2 linked regions of the Rhinolophus ferrumequinum genome follow. The protein of the gene in region 1 interacts with the protein of each later gene in a pairwise test. Links are inferred from orthologs where the notes say so. Each region holds a gene or a part of one and is shown in the gene's direction. Other genes may lie near its edges.

Region 1 (7,711 bases):
TTTTTTAATCTTTAGACACTTTTCCTATTTTTCAGGGGGGTATTTTGCATTATAGACGTATAGGTAATGTAATAAGTCCCATATTTGTTAATCCATCCTTGTTTAGAAAACATAATTGAGGTGCAACCTTCGGGCATTGTTTAACAATTGGTAAGAATAATAGTGAATAAGTGAACAGGTTACTATTCACCTGTTGTTTTTGACAAGACTAGTCCCAAACTAGTTATTAAACATCATTCCCCAGAATTCTCTGTGTTGCAGATAAGCCTATGTCTCTCCCTGGGTTTCCTGCCTCCTTCTGTAAGGGTCAAAGGAATTCCCAAGAACTCCGTGCATTTGAAGGGAGTAGGAACGACCCTCCCCAGCTTCTACACTTTCAACTGCAGCAGAGAAGAGGAAACCTTAGAGGTCTGTGTGTTTCTGGCAAGATCCCCACCCCTGCCTAGTCATGACACACCCCCACTATCTGCCCTTCCACCATTAAAACCAATATCATTATGCCTTTAGCTTTATGTCAGTCTCTGCAAGAAGCCCCTATACCTAGGTCACCCCTCATCTGGGTACACTTCATCACTTACCCCTTTTTGATTCCATTTCCCCAACCTCTGACCTCTGGACAAGCAGTGAAATCCTCCGTATCCTCAAACTCTTCTCTTAACGGTTCCTTTACTTCCTTATTCTAAGTGGAACTTGATTCTTTCCTGAAGTCACTGCTTTTCCTGCATCTCTCTCTTGAGATGGCTAATGTACCACTGGGCCTGGAGGTCATGTGATGGTCTTCTTTGTTCCCCACTGCCATTTCTAAATCATCCTTCTCTCCTCTTCCCTAGAAGCACTCAGCTTGGAGTCTGGTGTCAATGGACCATACATCCATTAACTCTCCTTGCCATAATCATGTACTGACCCCCCCAGGTCATACTCCATCATTCCTTAATTAATTTAGATACTGACTCACTATCATTCTCTCCAACACTACTCCTGTCATAATTCTTAGTGATTTCAATATTCACACAGAAGATTTTTAAAACCCTGGTGTTGTAGTAAGGTTTCTCCTGAAAGTAGACCCTGAAACAAGGACTTCGGTTACAAATGGTTTATTTGGGAGATAACCCAGAAAGCAGGAACCAGGGAGCAAGAAGAATAAGATAAGGAGGAAAAGCCTCTGTAAAGGTGTGGCATTAAGGTCACTACCATGAATGAAAGAAACTTGAGTCCACTGAGACCTCTGCGAAGCATCCTGAGTGCCCCACAAAATTGTTTGCATGAGGACCAGAGGCTGACGCACTTATTCACTGGCTTCTGACCTGTTAGTTAAGGGTTGTTCTCAGGAGCTTTATCTTCCCCACACTTTGCTGTACTTTCCTGTGAACCTAGCAGGCTGCTGGGCCTTCAGAGAAGACCCTGAGGTGAAAGAAGAAAGGAGAGGTGCCCTTTTCGGGTGGGAAGCTGTCAGGGGAGTCTGAAATGTCCATCATAGCTGCTACTGAAATCAGAAGTAGATCAAGGGGATGTGACTAGGACACCATGAGAATGCCTGGCTTCTCAGTTCCCTGGCCTCGTCTGTCCCAGTGATCCTGTTCTCCACCCTACCTCACTACTGTCTCCCTGATCATAGCTTAGCCCTTGTCATTACCAATAACTGCAACCGATAACAGCCTAAGCTCAATGTCACCCTCCAGCCACCTGCTCCTATCTTCCCAACTTACTCCCTCTGGTATCTTCATTCCAACAACCCTTCGTCTCTCACCCATACAGTACTTTAATCCTACTATATTTTCAGTTTTTCACCCTCCAGATTCAATTTTAACCCCATGGTCAATCATCATACTCTTACACATATGCTCAACTCGCTGCAACATCCTCTGTCAACAAAACCCTAACCTGGATTGGAGCCTAGTGTGTATCAATTCAGTGCCTGCACTTGAGTGTCTGAATGTGGCTTTAGAACGAAACAGGTCCTGCTACTCAAGAGCAGTGAGACCTGAGGTGTCTTACTTAACCCTGCTGTCTTAGTTTCCTTAGCTATGCCAAGTAGTCGCAACTAAAATTCAGGGCCACTACTCTCAATTGGGTCCTTGGGACTGCCCAGGAATCAGAACGCATTTCCTCTATCTCTTCACTCTCCCTTCTATATTCTTTTCTCATTTCTTCTTAAACTTCAGAATATCTGTTGTTTAAGACATTTGCAAGAAAATGATTATGTAATATACTCGTATGTATAAATTGGACTGTGAGAGTTTCACTCTGGACCTGGTCCCATGGAAATCTTAGGATGGTTCTGTTCAGTTTCATAGTTGCTAGTGGGGTTTTCACTTCCTTGTCCAGGGCCCCATTTTCTAGAAGGGAGAGTGGAGCTTAGAAGTGTTTTGGACCATGGAGGGGGATGGTCATTCAACCAGAGCAGATTCATGGGCTGAGCGCAGACTTAAAGCACAGGTAACTGTCTTACAGGCAATATAGAGAAAGCTGCCTCCGAGATACCCTCTCTCAAGAAAGACAACTAACACACCTCTCAGCACAAGCAATGTGTGGCATTTCCTGGCACAGCAAAGAAGGATCTTCTGGCTTAGGAATAAGGATAGAAATTGATATAGGGATATGGTTAGATTCCGGTTAGGGTTAGGCTTAGGATTGGCTCCCATGGATCTTCCTGGATAGTCTTTTGAGACAGACTCTTTTTCTCCATGTGGTATACAGAGATCTGGGAGACCCCAACAATCATTCTCCTCCATCTCTTGGGGCTGTTTCTGTCCTCCCTCTTCCACTCCCAAATCTTGCAAACCCTTGGTGCCCCATCTAGTTTTTCACCAGTTCTCTAATCAATATACAGTGTATTGATTAAACTTTATATACTATCTTTACATGTAAAAAAGCTTTTTGTCTTTTGCTTTGCTTTTTACAAATCAAAAGCTTTGTTTTATAGCTGTTGTATTTAAAATAGACTTCCAGAGCCTATTGTGGAAGTAATAATCCCAAACATCGTGGACACAAGGGATGCATTAGGGCCTGCTGGTAATTGTTTGCATTTCTACAAGAAAGTGTGAAAAAAGTACGCACAAACATACTTTTCAGTAATTTATATCACACAGCTGAGTGAAAATAAAGATGTGTGGGAGTCTTGCCTTCAATTTGTAAAAATGCAACAAGTGTGAAGTGCAATAAAGTGAAGAGCAATAAAAAGAGGTATGCCTGTAGTGGGTACTCAAACAAGTATTAAATACTTAATTGGATTCTTTAAGTAGGGTCATTAATTAATTGATTTATTCAATTATTACATCATAGTGTCTTCGGACTTTTTTTAGGGTACATAAAACTGATTATAATTTAATCAAGAGTCTTACATTTTAAATTAAGCAGTAGAGTTGGACTACAGTTGAAGATAACCCAGTTTCACAGGAAAAGGGAACCATGATTATATAAAGTTTATTCTGGACTAGGCCTTTTTCTCTGACCCAGTTGAGTGACTTTGGCAGGATAACCTCTCTGAGCCTCATTTTTGTCCTCTGTAGAACAAAGGTGACCTCTATGGTAAGAGTCATCCCTGTGTTAACATTCTGCCAGAACACACAGGCATAGTGGCTCTGAATCCTTGTCCTACCATTTACTCATTGTTTAATAGTGTATTGCTCTCTACTAAGTCATTTGTAAAATGGAGACACCCAGATGGCATGAAAGTTATGTTGATTTAGTGAAGTATTACATAAGCTTTCCAAATTACAGTTCTGCTTCTATTCACTCCATAGCAGTGAGAGTTAAAATGGGAGTTTGATCATGCCATTCCTGTGTTCAAAAGCCTGCAATGATTCCCTATCTCACTCAGGTAAAAGCCAGTCTTTATGGGTGGTCTACAAGGCCCTATATAATCTTCTGATCGCCTTATTCTCTGCCCTGAACACACCAACCTTCTCACTATTTCTCGGATACTCTTGGCAACCTACTCTCTGTGCTTCCCCTCTCTGGGATACTCTTCTCCCACAAATGACCTGGCTTCTTCCTTACCTCTTTCAAGTCTTTGCTCAAATGCCATCTTCTCAGTGAGGACTACTTGAATCACTGTATTTAAAATTTCCAACTTCATCCTTCCCTTCCGTTTTATTTTACTACATAGCTCTTATTTACTTCCAACATATCATGAATGCTAGTAAAAATGTATAATACAATACCAGGTATATTGTAGGTTGCACATATAAATTATATTCTCTTCCTTTGGCCAGTCCCTTGTGATCTGAAGGGATAATGCTTGGGGGCTTATGGTTTAGGATCTTCTGGGACAACGCCTTCAGGAAATCCAAGGTTAACGTTCATTGCCCAAACAGTCTTTCATAGATTATTTTAGTGCGAGACACACTTGAATAGAAATATTAATAGTTAAGGCCCTTTCTGCCATGTAAGATCTCTGCAACTTAAAAGAGGGCCCTCACCCAACCATGCTGGCATTCTGATCTCCGACTTCCTGCCTCCAGAACAGAGAAATAAGTTTCTGTTGTCTATTAAAAAAATAGTTAATAGTCAACATTTCATTCATTCATGTATTCATTCATTCATGTATTCATCCAACACATATCTATGGGGCGGTTTCTATGGCCAGTTCTTATGGAAGACAGCTGTTACAAGCATTTCATTGGGGTAAGATACCTCCCTTAACACTCAAGTCGCGGGATTTGGGGCGGGGAATAAAGGGTCTGGCCTGGTCTCGCCAGCAGAGGGCGTGATCCCACCCTCTTTGCAGCCTCTCGGCCCACCAAGGCTTCCAGGCTCCCACGCTCGCTCCCGAGCGCGCCCCCGCCCGCCGCGTCACGTGATGCGGCGGTGGAACCTGAGCTGCCGGGCCTAAGCCGAGCTAAATTCGTTGCCGGTGGCCGCTGCGGGTGCAACCACAAAGGCTAATCCGAAGAAGTGGGGAGGGTCGTGGAGTCGATGCTTCCTCTTCCAATTCAGGTCGGCTCCCGTTACCTTCTCACCATTCACCGTCGCCGTCTCCCTGAGCGTTTGCATGAGCTCTTTCGTGTGGGGAAGCTCCGGTGACCATGTAGGGGGAAAGAGTGAGGAAGCCTGGGACGAAGTCAGCGCTGTCTGCACGCCGCCCGGCGCCCACCACACCCCCGGTGCGGGCCGGTGGGCCCGTCGGCCCTGGTGGGACAACTCCGGCCTCCGGTTGTGGCCTGGCCCGGGGCGCCACGAAATCTCGCTACGTCTCGCGAGAATCTAAGTTGAAGGAACATGGCGACGTCTCATCTGTTAAAGGTAAGACCCTCAGGCTAGCTTGGCTTTTACTTCGCGACCGCTGGGTTCAGCTCTTTGGGAAAGGTTCGGATCGGGTTTAGGGGCAAATTGTAGGAGTGTTCAGGGGTTGTCTACCGGAAGGGAGGCCGGGGAAGCTGCCGCCCAGGACCGGAACGCGGGTCCCTGGCCTTGGGGTCGAGAGGCTCTGGTTGTCCCTCGGGCCGGTTGACCGGTGTGTGAAAGGCCCAGCTGAGGGATGGCGGGTAGCGATGCTTTCAATGGACCAGCTCTGGCCTCGGACGGGAGATGAATGGTGGTGCTTTGCCGTGACCGATTGGGCAGTTAGTACTCTTAGGGTCTCGGTTTGTTCTGAAGCGAGAGTCTAAGACGTATAAAAGGAAAATCCAAGAAAATGCTGCCTGACATAGGGATCAATGACGACCCCCACCTCCTTAATTTCAGTTCTTATTCTCTCTGCACGGAATTCTAAGTCAGACGGCAAGCACTGCCATCCACTCCACTCCCGCCGTCCCTTTCTGCACGCTGTACTTTCCCTCCTACTCTCCCATTCTCGAGTTCATATTTTACCCTTTTTTCCTTAGGAAACTGCTCCTCAGCCCCACTACAGCACACAACCAGATGACTACGGTACTGAGGAAGTGCTGCCATCGCTTTAGGGCTTAGGAAAGTTACCTTATCAAAGAAAACGGTTAGTTAGTTTTATATATTTGGGATAGCAAGGGAGATCTAGAGTCAGGAGCAGATTCTCTACTATCAATTAAAACGTTTGGAGGAAAACGAGAAAAGGCACTAATCTGTTTATTCTGTGCTTGTGTTTATAGTAGGAACGTTTTGCCTTAAAAGTATTTACTGAATTGGTCTGATTAGCTCAGGGAACATATATACAAAGGATGAAGTACTCCCCTCGAACCCATCATTATACATTCAGGCCGTGAGGATGGATAGTGGAAAATAATTGAATAGAAAATATGTTAAAATATACCGGAACCTCACTCATGTCCTTTTTTAGACTACTGATGTTAACTGCCTGATAGATGGGACTGTCCTATAAAATGTAGAACTGTTTTAACTAACTTAAGAGGCAATAATATTATCTTCCTTTAAATGGGGGAGGGGCCTAGAACTAGACTGAATTTCAGCCACTTAGAAGCTGTGTGACTTCCGGCAAGTTTCTTAATCTCGGCCTAGGTTTCCTCATCAATGAAATGGAATTATTAATAGAACCTGTTTCATAGGAGCGTTTTGAAGATTGAGTTAATGTATATAAAATGGTTAAAACCGTGACTGGGACTTAATTAGTACACAATACACCTAAATTACTAGAATCACTACTCTTGTTTCTCTAAGAAAACTAAATAACGGAATTGAGTAACCCATCCTACTGGACTCGTCTTTTGTAACATTATTGCAAATTTTAATATATTAGTTCAGAAAGAAAACTTGTTTAACTTCTAAAGACTCCTATTAAAGCGTCTGCATGATTACATAAGCAATCGCTTATGCTATTAATTGAAATCATGAAAAAAATAATTGGGTTCCTGATTCTTTGAATTTTTGACTGGATTACATGCATATACAGCAGTCTTTCCCCACCCCCCAATTATCTCAGCAAAGAGCCTTTTACTTTATTCTACCCCATACAAAGCTTTGCAAAGGATTGTTGGGAGGAGATACAAGTCTGAAGTTATATCAGTCAACACTACTAAGTGGTTACTTTGTAGAGATTATGAATCTACATCTACAGCATACATCTATAGAATAAAAAAGCTGCTTGAATATATAGAAAATGGACACTTAGTGTTTAGGTTAAAAGGATAACAAGAATTCAGAAGTTCTGTAATTCAAACAACTTTTATAAATAAAAGGAAGGTGGCAGTGCTTTGAAAAAACTGGTAAATTCCTCAGTCATTCTAGTGAACGTGAAAACAGATGCCAAAGATGCACTGGGAAAATTTCAATAAAGTTGTTTTATGAAATGTTGAAAGGGGGAAAAAGAATTTTTAAATATTATTTTATATCCTATGTGATTTTAAATATGTACAACTAAGGGAATATAATGGACAATGTAAATACACGTTTAATTCTTTTATCTGTATCACCAAAAGTTTACATATTTAAATTGGCCGGAAATCTTTCCTTCTCTTCTTATTGGGGGGAAGGGGAATTGCCCTAAATTCTTATATCTAGAATTAACTAATTAAAAACTGGGAAGTTTGTCTTGGAGAAATGTAATGTGACCTTGCCAGGGTGGAGCCATAACATAAGTCAGAGGGTCATTTAAATTCAAGGCTAGTGCTGCGTTGAACAGAGACAGGGCTGGCTAGGAAGTGGCCACGTTAGCCTCATTTCCTTTCTTGACAGAATTCATAGACTGGTTCCTTAGAACACTGCCTGAGACATTGTGTAATTAGATTTCACCACAGCATATTTGACAGAATTATCATGTCCTATGACCAAAATGGAGGTA
Region 2 (7,801 bases), on another chromosome or scaffold:
CTCAGTTTCCTCGTTTGTAAAATGGAGATTCATTATATGGTATCTATATTGTAGGATTGTTTTAAGGATAAAGTTGATAGCTAATGCAAATTGCTTAGCACAGTGCCTGGCACATTTAAGAGCTCAAGAGTTGGTATTATTACTGTCGTCATTGCTGTTGTTATCCTTACTTTGACCGATCAATCCTCCTTAGTTAACAGAGGAGGAACCAGGCCTGGCCAGAGTCATGCAGTGAGCCTTGGGCATGGAGGAAAGGGGGCCGGCACCCAGGTATTCAGACTTGCAGTGCAGGCCAGTGTGGGCTGTGGAGAGAGCAGACCTTGGTTTACATTGTGGGTTTGTCACCTTCCACTCTTGAGCTAGTTGCTCAACCTCTCTGAGCCTTGGGTTCTCTATCCTTAAAATGTCTCGAGATTGTTGGAAGGTGGAGAGATGAAGTGTATAAAGGTAGCACAGAGCTGGGACATCTAAAGGCACTCGAGGAGCAACAGTTCTCACCCCTGTGTGGTGCTTTCTTAATCTTCTCTACTTAATCCAGTGGTTTTTAATCTCCCCCCCACCCTCCCCACAATGAGAGGAAGGAGATATGGACCCTTTGAGAATTTGTCATCTGTAGACACCCAAACTCAGAGGGTTCATAGACCTCTGCTGACACTGGGGATGAAAATGAATCCATACTCAATCTAATAGGTCCGTCTCTCCTCCTCTCGCCTTCTCCTTCCCTCCTCCCCCTTTCCCTTCCTGTCTGGCCCCATCAGCTCCAGGCTAGCTGCCTTTAACTCACAATTTTTCTAACAACATCTTTGTTCCAAGGGCATTCTCAGCAAAGACTACAACCACATTCTCAGTTTCTGGGGCTGAGGACATGGTATCACTTAAATTTCCCAAGCATCAATTTCCTTCTCTGTAAAATAGACACTGAGGATTAATTAAGACAACGTTACTGGTTGATAGCACTTTGCTGTCCACACACATAGTCTCAGTTAACCTACACAGTAACTCTATGAGGTAGATCTTTCATTCAACTCAGTCAATATTTATTGAGTGCGTACTATGTTCTAGGCAGTTTTAGCCACAGCGATGCCTCATGGAGCTTACATCATGGGCAGAAAGGATTAAAAACATGAACACTAAATAAGGTCATTTCAAATTGTGATAAATGCTATAACAAAATTAAAACAAGATAAAAGAGCTAAGGGAAGGCATTTAGGTCTTTATCTGGATACAATTTATATAAATTCACAGTATCAAAGTATCAGTATGTACTTGTTACTCTTTGATTTTTATGGTACCTTTTTTTCCTGGTAAATTCCTTCTCCAAGGGTGGCTTTCCTTGGGCGTTATAGAATGCTGTAGTCTGCCCTCGTTAGACAAAGGGTCTTAGGATTTCTAGGCCTGATATCCTTAAATTGTCAGTGGGGATTTAACCCAACTTCAAGGCTGTCTGTGAAAGGTGTGGATTTTGAATCTCAGACACCTTTCGCTGGAGCTGGCAGTCTCCAGTTGCATTACTGTATTTGAGGAAGGCAAATCCAGCCTGTGAAATCCAGAAAAATGCCACCCCTAAGTAAATAACCAACCGAACATGTCTGAAGGATGTGAAACTAAGATGAATATAATCAATTCAGAAAAATGAGCCCATTGAGGGAAGAGAACAGAGGCAACAGCTGGGCAGGACAGACTGCCCAGATGGAGGGTTTCATACTCTCCATTACAGCAGAACACAATATTCGCTTTACTAAGGCCATGAATTTTCTCCAATAATTGCTCCTTTTAAAAAAAAATACCTATTGTATGCCAGTTACTTATAACATATTAATAAGCCTCACAAGAAATCTGTAAAGTAGGAGGAAACAATGTCAGTGAGTTTAAGTAACTTGACGAGCCACGGTTAGCCTGGTAGAATTGAGTGTTGGAGCTCAGGTTGTCACTGATCCCCAACCCTGTGTCCTTTACACCCACCATCCACCAACCTCAGAGGCTGCCTACTTGGTAAGACAGAGGAGTGGCAGAGCCCGGCCGGGAGAGGTCCATGGGGAAGCCCTCCCCACACCAGTATTCCACACTCAATACACCCGTAGAATCTCACTTGACCATTTCATGAAAGGCTGGGGCTTCTTTCTTCTACTGAGGACAAGATGGTTGCCCGGTTTGTTTTTCTCACTTGTCTTTCAGTGTTTTAAATGACTCTAGTACCAGCCAGCCTGGGATTGCTCTTTTCCAAAATTAAAATACTTTTAAGTTATCTTCATTAATAAGTAGCCCATATTTGTTGCCAAAACTCAGAAGTGTGTATAGCAGATGAGAGCTTCCCTGCCCATCTTTCTCCCACATTTAGTATGGCCTTAAATGTGCCTTCTGGGCAGAAGGAGATGGATCTTTTAATTCCTCTCATAGGGGAAGTTATCGTGCTGGTAAAAGAGCTACGGAGTCCCGTCAGGTTTCAGATGATACTCTGGTCCAGCCTTGAGTTGAATAATTAGTTCAGTTTTTAACAAACCTTCATGGCATGTCACCTGTGTGCTAGGTGTTGCTGATCCAAGATGGACAAAACAGCCTCTGACCTGGGGAACTCATTCTGTTGTTGAATACCCTTGTGTAAACCAAGGATTACAGTGGTGATCCCCTAATGAACATATACAGAGTGCCATTTTTAGAAGTAGTTTAAAACTTTCTTTTCAATCAGAATGACACATACATAATTAACTGATCAGAAAAGTAGTCATAATATTCCAGCGTAAGAGTACTTTGCAGGTAAGCCCGACTCAGGCTGACATAGCTGGGGTGGAGGGCTGGGGTGCACCCTCTCCAGAAACCCCCAGCAGCATGCGCTGTTTCTTTTCATTCTGGTTGTTGAGCTTTCCCTGGATACCATGCGCAAAATGTGCCATGTGTGCAGAGGATATGCCAGGTCAGTTAGTCAGAGATTCTGCTTCGAGAATCGGCCCGTTTTCCATTGCACCAGTGCTACATTTTCAAAATGGAAGGAATTTAAAATGTAAAAGCATTTGCTGTGCAGAGGAGGGAGACTGCAGGGCTGGGATCAGAATCCAAGTCTCCTCACACCCAGTTTGATGCTTTTTCCATTACAGCCCACCATTGAGTCTTAAGGCACCAAGTGGGTGGGCATTAATCTTGTATGGACTTTTTATCCAGTGCTGATGATGTCAACTGGACTGTGCCAGCAGCAGAGATTTTACATTGGGCAGGTCAGTCACTGCATTTGATAAACACCCCATTGACAAGACAGAAAAACAAATGGACAGTGTGTGTACACCTTGACGAGGGTCAGTTGCAGCAGGAGGGGCACCAGGCAGAGGGGTGGGGACAGTGCAAGGAGGGCTTCTTAGCATAGTGAGTGTATAAAAGCACATTTGAAGAAACAGCTTATATTTTCTTTTTCCAGATCTGGCACCTGGAAGAGTCTGGTCAGGTACATTGCCAAGTTGCTGCTCAGATTTGACTAGGATCTAACCTGATCTACCCAAAGGAGATGTAATCAATGCTGGTATTTTAGGTCTGTTTTCTACTGTTTAATTGTTCTTTTTAGTGGTAATAATAGTAATAGTAAAATTTAGTACTTGTAGGATGAAAGTAAATGCCCTCAAGGATGGTGTCTTGGACTGGTCTGATTCAGGCAGGGCCTACTGCTTCAGAGGAAACATTCATTCATTCATTCATTCATTCAAGAAATATTTAGTTGGTACCTATGTACCAGACACTGATTTTGGGGAAAGTGAGAGACACACGGGCTATTTATTCCCTCATGTAGCTAAGCTGTTTGACTTTTCACACATCCCTTTCTCTGGGCTCAAATCCTCGACCTATCTATTCAGAGGTGTGTGCTCACAGTGGACCTTAGACTATTTATATTCCAATTCACCTCTTCCTGTTATGTGATCACATGCAAGTTAATTTGGTCTTCCTGAGCCTCGGTTTCCTCGTCTGTAAAGTGGGGATAATATAAGTCGTTTCATGAAGCTGTATCTAGGGTGAAATTAAGATAGCTCAACCACCAACTCTTAGTGCGCCCAACCCAGGGTGGTCGCTATCGTTAATCCCTGTTGATTCCCTGAGCGGAGGACCAACTCCGGAACCACAGGTGCTAATTAGGGCGTGGCTCACAGCCCCCCGGGTGGAGGAATAGGGTTTATAAAGCCAGGTTCTGGCGCTGTGGCCTTATTCCGTCTTGACTACCGTAGACACCGGAGAGGTCTTCCAGGCTTTGGCCCCGCTCCGCACACCAAGGGCCAGAAGGCCCCGGAGTGGCCAGCGCGGGGCCAGCGCGCCGGGACCAAGCGGGCCTCTCTCGGTGCGCGCGGCCGCCGAGCGGCGCTGGGGACCGGGTCCCCCACCCTGGGGGCGGGGCCTGCAGCCGGCCCGGTCCCCGCGCCCCGCGCCCCGCGCTCCCCCACCCCGCCGAGGCCCGGAAGGGGCCAGTCCCGCTTCCGTCTCCGCCGGGGATGCACGGAGGGCGGAGCTGCGGCCCGAGGACGCGACGCGAGCCCAGTTCCGGCGAGGAGGCCGCGCCAGTGACAGCGATGGCGGCGGAGTCGGCGCTCCAAGTTGTGGAGAAGCTGCAGGCGCGCCTGACTGCGAACCCGGACCCGAAGAAGGTGAGCGAGTGGGCAGCGGGGGGCGAGGCGGGCGTTGGGCGCGGCGCGGCCCCGTAACGGTCGCGGGCCCGGGCGCGGCCCCCTCCCGGCCCGCCGGGGCGCGGGGCTCGGACCCGGAGCCAGGCCCCGCCGCGCTCGCAGCCGGGCGCCGGGGAGTCCGCGGCCCAGGCCGTGGGACCCCGTACGTCGAGCCTCGGTGGCCCGGGGCCTCCCTGCGCCCGGGGCCCGGGCCTGGGTTCCCGCGGGCTCTCGGCGGGCAGGGGCGCGCTCTGTGGGCACCGCGTGCCGACCTGGCTCCAGGAGCCTCCCTGGGCGTTTGGGGCCAGCTGTTTCCTGTCGGGAGAGCTCGCCTGGAGTTAACTCCGGCCCTCTCCGCCTCTCCCTGTGAAGTGTTTCTGATTTCTTAGTGTCTTTTGATGTTTGTTCGTGGGGAGGAGGTGATTCTGCCTGTGCGTGATGGAGTCTAGACTCGGTGTGTGGTCCCTGCGTCTCTAAGAGACGTTTTTATTGCTTTCCGGCTTGATGTTAGAACATGGACCTTTTCGCTTTCTCAGTAATTCCCTTTCAAAACAAGACAAAATAAGCCTCACGCACGTCACCTAGCTGTGCCCAAAAATACGCCCAAAAACTGAGGTTGTAGTTAGGGGAAAACAGAGAGGTTAGCAGTTGCAGGTAGATTTCCTTCTGGCCTTGAAAAAAGGTAAGAGCTACCGTTTCTCATTTTGCAGCGAGTGGTTTGCAACCGTTTTTAATTGTACTCAGCTAGTTTTGTTTTCTAAACTGTTTTAAGTTAAATGCGTTCTTCTCTCTCTCCGACTTTTTGTTACCCCGCTTATTGGTGTCTGGGAGAAGGGTGGATGTTAGGTGTTTTTTAATTGAAATACACAGATGAAAACACCCAAGGTGTCTGACATTCTCTGTCAGCATTCTAGCTAACATGTACATACAGTTCTAAGAGTGGGATCTCTGAGTCCCCGAGTGCGTTTTGAGAAAAGGAAATAATCGAGGAGGCAGTTAAGATAAAGTGGTGGTGAGATTGGGGTTCTAATCCATTTACCAGCCATGGACCAAGGGGAGGTGAACCTGTTTCCTCACCCGCTTGTTCTGAAGATGGAACTAAAAGGCAGAAGCATCAGGCTCATGGGAAGTGCTCAGTAGATACTAATCATCACTCTTCACAGTTTTCTTGAAGGGCCCCTTTCTCTTCATCTTGTCCCCTGCTTGTCATAGGTGAGATTTTTTCCCCCCTCCATTTCTAAAAGCTGCACACAGCATCTCACCATCAGGCCACTTTTTAACTCTTTTCATTCATACCTAGCTCAAAGATCCACTTCTTTAGGAAGCCATTTTAGTTTTCAATCTGAAAACTTAAATGCTTTCAATTGTTTTGTGTTATATTTTCTATTGCGGCTTCATTACCTAGTGGCCAGGCATATTTACAAGTTTCTTTTTACAATAACCCTTTGTGGACAGCTAATAAATGGCCATTATTTCTGAATACGAGTTTGTTTTCCTAAACACTGTAGGTTTGTAACTGATCTTTAAAAGCTTAAAACAGTATTATGTAAATCCACCCCCAGCCCTAATTTGATCTTGTTTTCAGGTTGGAAAAAATGCACCATGTAGTATCTACAGTTGTTCTTCCATTAGGATTTAAAATTTGAAGTAGCTTTTCTAGTAGTTGATGTGCATGAAATTTCCAATTGGGAAAAACGTTTGTTTGCCTTCTCATCCTGCTTGAACTATTAGTAGTTTTTGTGAGTATTTAGGCTTTCTCTTCCCAGATAGAAAAATCACCCTGAACTTCCAGCTTTGCATTATGAAGTGAGCATTAAGACGATGAGAAAATGTTGGGAGATCATTGCTGCAAAGGGCACAGTAGTTGGCATTCAGAAATGAGCTAACTGCAGGGAGAAAACTGCAAGCTGGCACGCTGGCCTTCTCCTCAACCTTCTGTTAACCCAACAAGCTCCCACAGGTTGTTCTTGAAATTGCAAGATGATTATATAGGAGTATTGAATTTGCAACTAAATCCTGATTTCAAACCATCATTAAACAAAGGGTGGATTCCACACCTATGTTCATGGATTTTCTGGCATTAAACATTGGTGTTTAACTGAAACTGTTTTCGCTTTAAGTCCATCTGAAACCCAGGCTTACTTGGGGGAAAGGTATCAGGCGGAGGCCAGGGTCACTTGGTTCCTACTATTTAATTGGAAACAATTTTCATGGCTGGTGAAGTTACCTGTCCTGTGTTACGTTTGAATGTGAAAATTACGCAGAACACAGTCCGATGGCAAGTGGAGAATGGGATCACCATTATGAACATCTTCTGCTCTTTGGGTTGAAGGAGTGTGCAAAGGACAACTGAAATTCCTAAGCATGCATTGTGCAAATGTTTGACATTTCTCAATGAGCTGTTATCAGTTCTTGCAAACTCTACAATTGGTCTGTTGGTTTGATAACAGCAAGTTTCCATCTACCTGAGGATGTCCAAAGTGCTTTTACCTTGTTACTGCTGTTTTTTCTTGAACATCATTGAAAACAGAGAGGCTCTGAAGCCCTTTTTATCTTATGTTGAGCTAAATCATTTTGAAAATCTCCAGAGTTTTTGTTTTGTCTGCTTTTAAGTCGTCCCGACTAACCCAAAGCAAAGCAGAAAGGCAGCATTTACTCCTCCGGTTAGTGCTAGGCTTTGAGATTTTCAAAGTGACTTCAGGCTCCATCCTTAATGTTGGCTTCGTAGAGGTCCTGAGGATCCTTTGTCCCCGTGGAGATCTCCTTCACACTGTGGCCTCTAGACTGTCTAACAACGGAATACTGTGGAGGCACTCTTTGGCTTTGGGGTATGCTGAGAGGCACGTGAGCTACAGCTCTCTTTTCTCTTCCTAGTTTCTAAGGACAGTGTTAGGTTGGATGTGTCTCCTGGCCTTGCAGTACATACTGTGGCAGACACAATTGACTTACTAGCTCGTGAGGCAGGTTATCTCACCTCACCGAGCTCGGCTTAAATAACTGTAAAACAGGGTGAATAATACCCACTTTATAGAGGTGGTCAGTGAGGATGAAATGAGGTAGCACGGGAGAACTTAGCAAAGTAGCCGACATAGTAGATGGTATATAAATGCCTTCCATTTATATATCAGTAGGGGTGACAGCCTGGTTTTAACCTTTTCAATGATTCT

What was found.
Region 2: the proteins of CUL5 (region 1) and ELOA come close enough for resonance energy transfer, tested with the Homo sapiens proteins (3 studies listed by BioGRID). The link is inferred for Rhinolophus ferrumequinum from reciprocal best matches to the Homo sapiens genes CUL5 and ELOA.

What each region holds. Positions count from the first base shown.
Region 1 is NC_046294.1:76,756,072-76,763,782, forward strand, and holds the start of CUL5 (cullin-5), read left to right. Parts: upstream 1-4,607; 5' UTR 4,608-5,220; coding exon 5,221-5,244; intron 5,245-5,825; exon of another isoform or gene 5,826-5,932; intron 5,933-7,711. UniProt on the Homo sapiens protein: Core component of multiple cullin-5-RING E3 ubiquitin-protein ligase complexes (ECS complexes, also named CRL5 complexes), which mediate the ubiquitination and subsequent proteasomal degradation of target proteins.
Region 2 is NC_046292.1:16,210,298-16,218,098, forward strand, and holds the start of ELOA (elongin-A), read left to right. Parts: upstream 1-4,423; 5' UTR 4,424-4,463; coding exon 4,464-4,616; intron 4,617-7,801. UniProt on the Homo sapiens protein: SIII, also known as elongin, is a general transcription elongation factor that increases the RNA polymerase II transcription elongation past template-encoded arresting sites.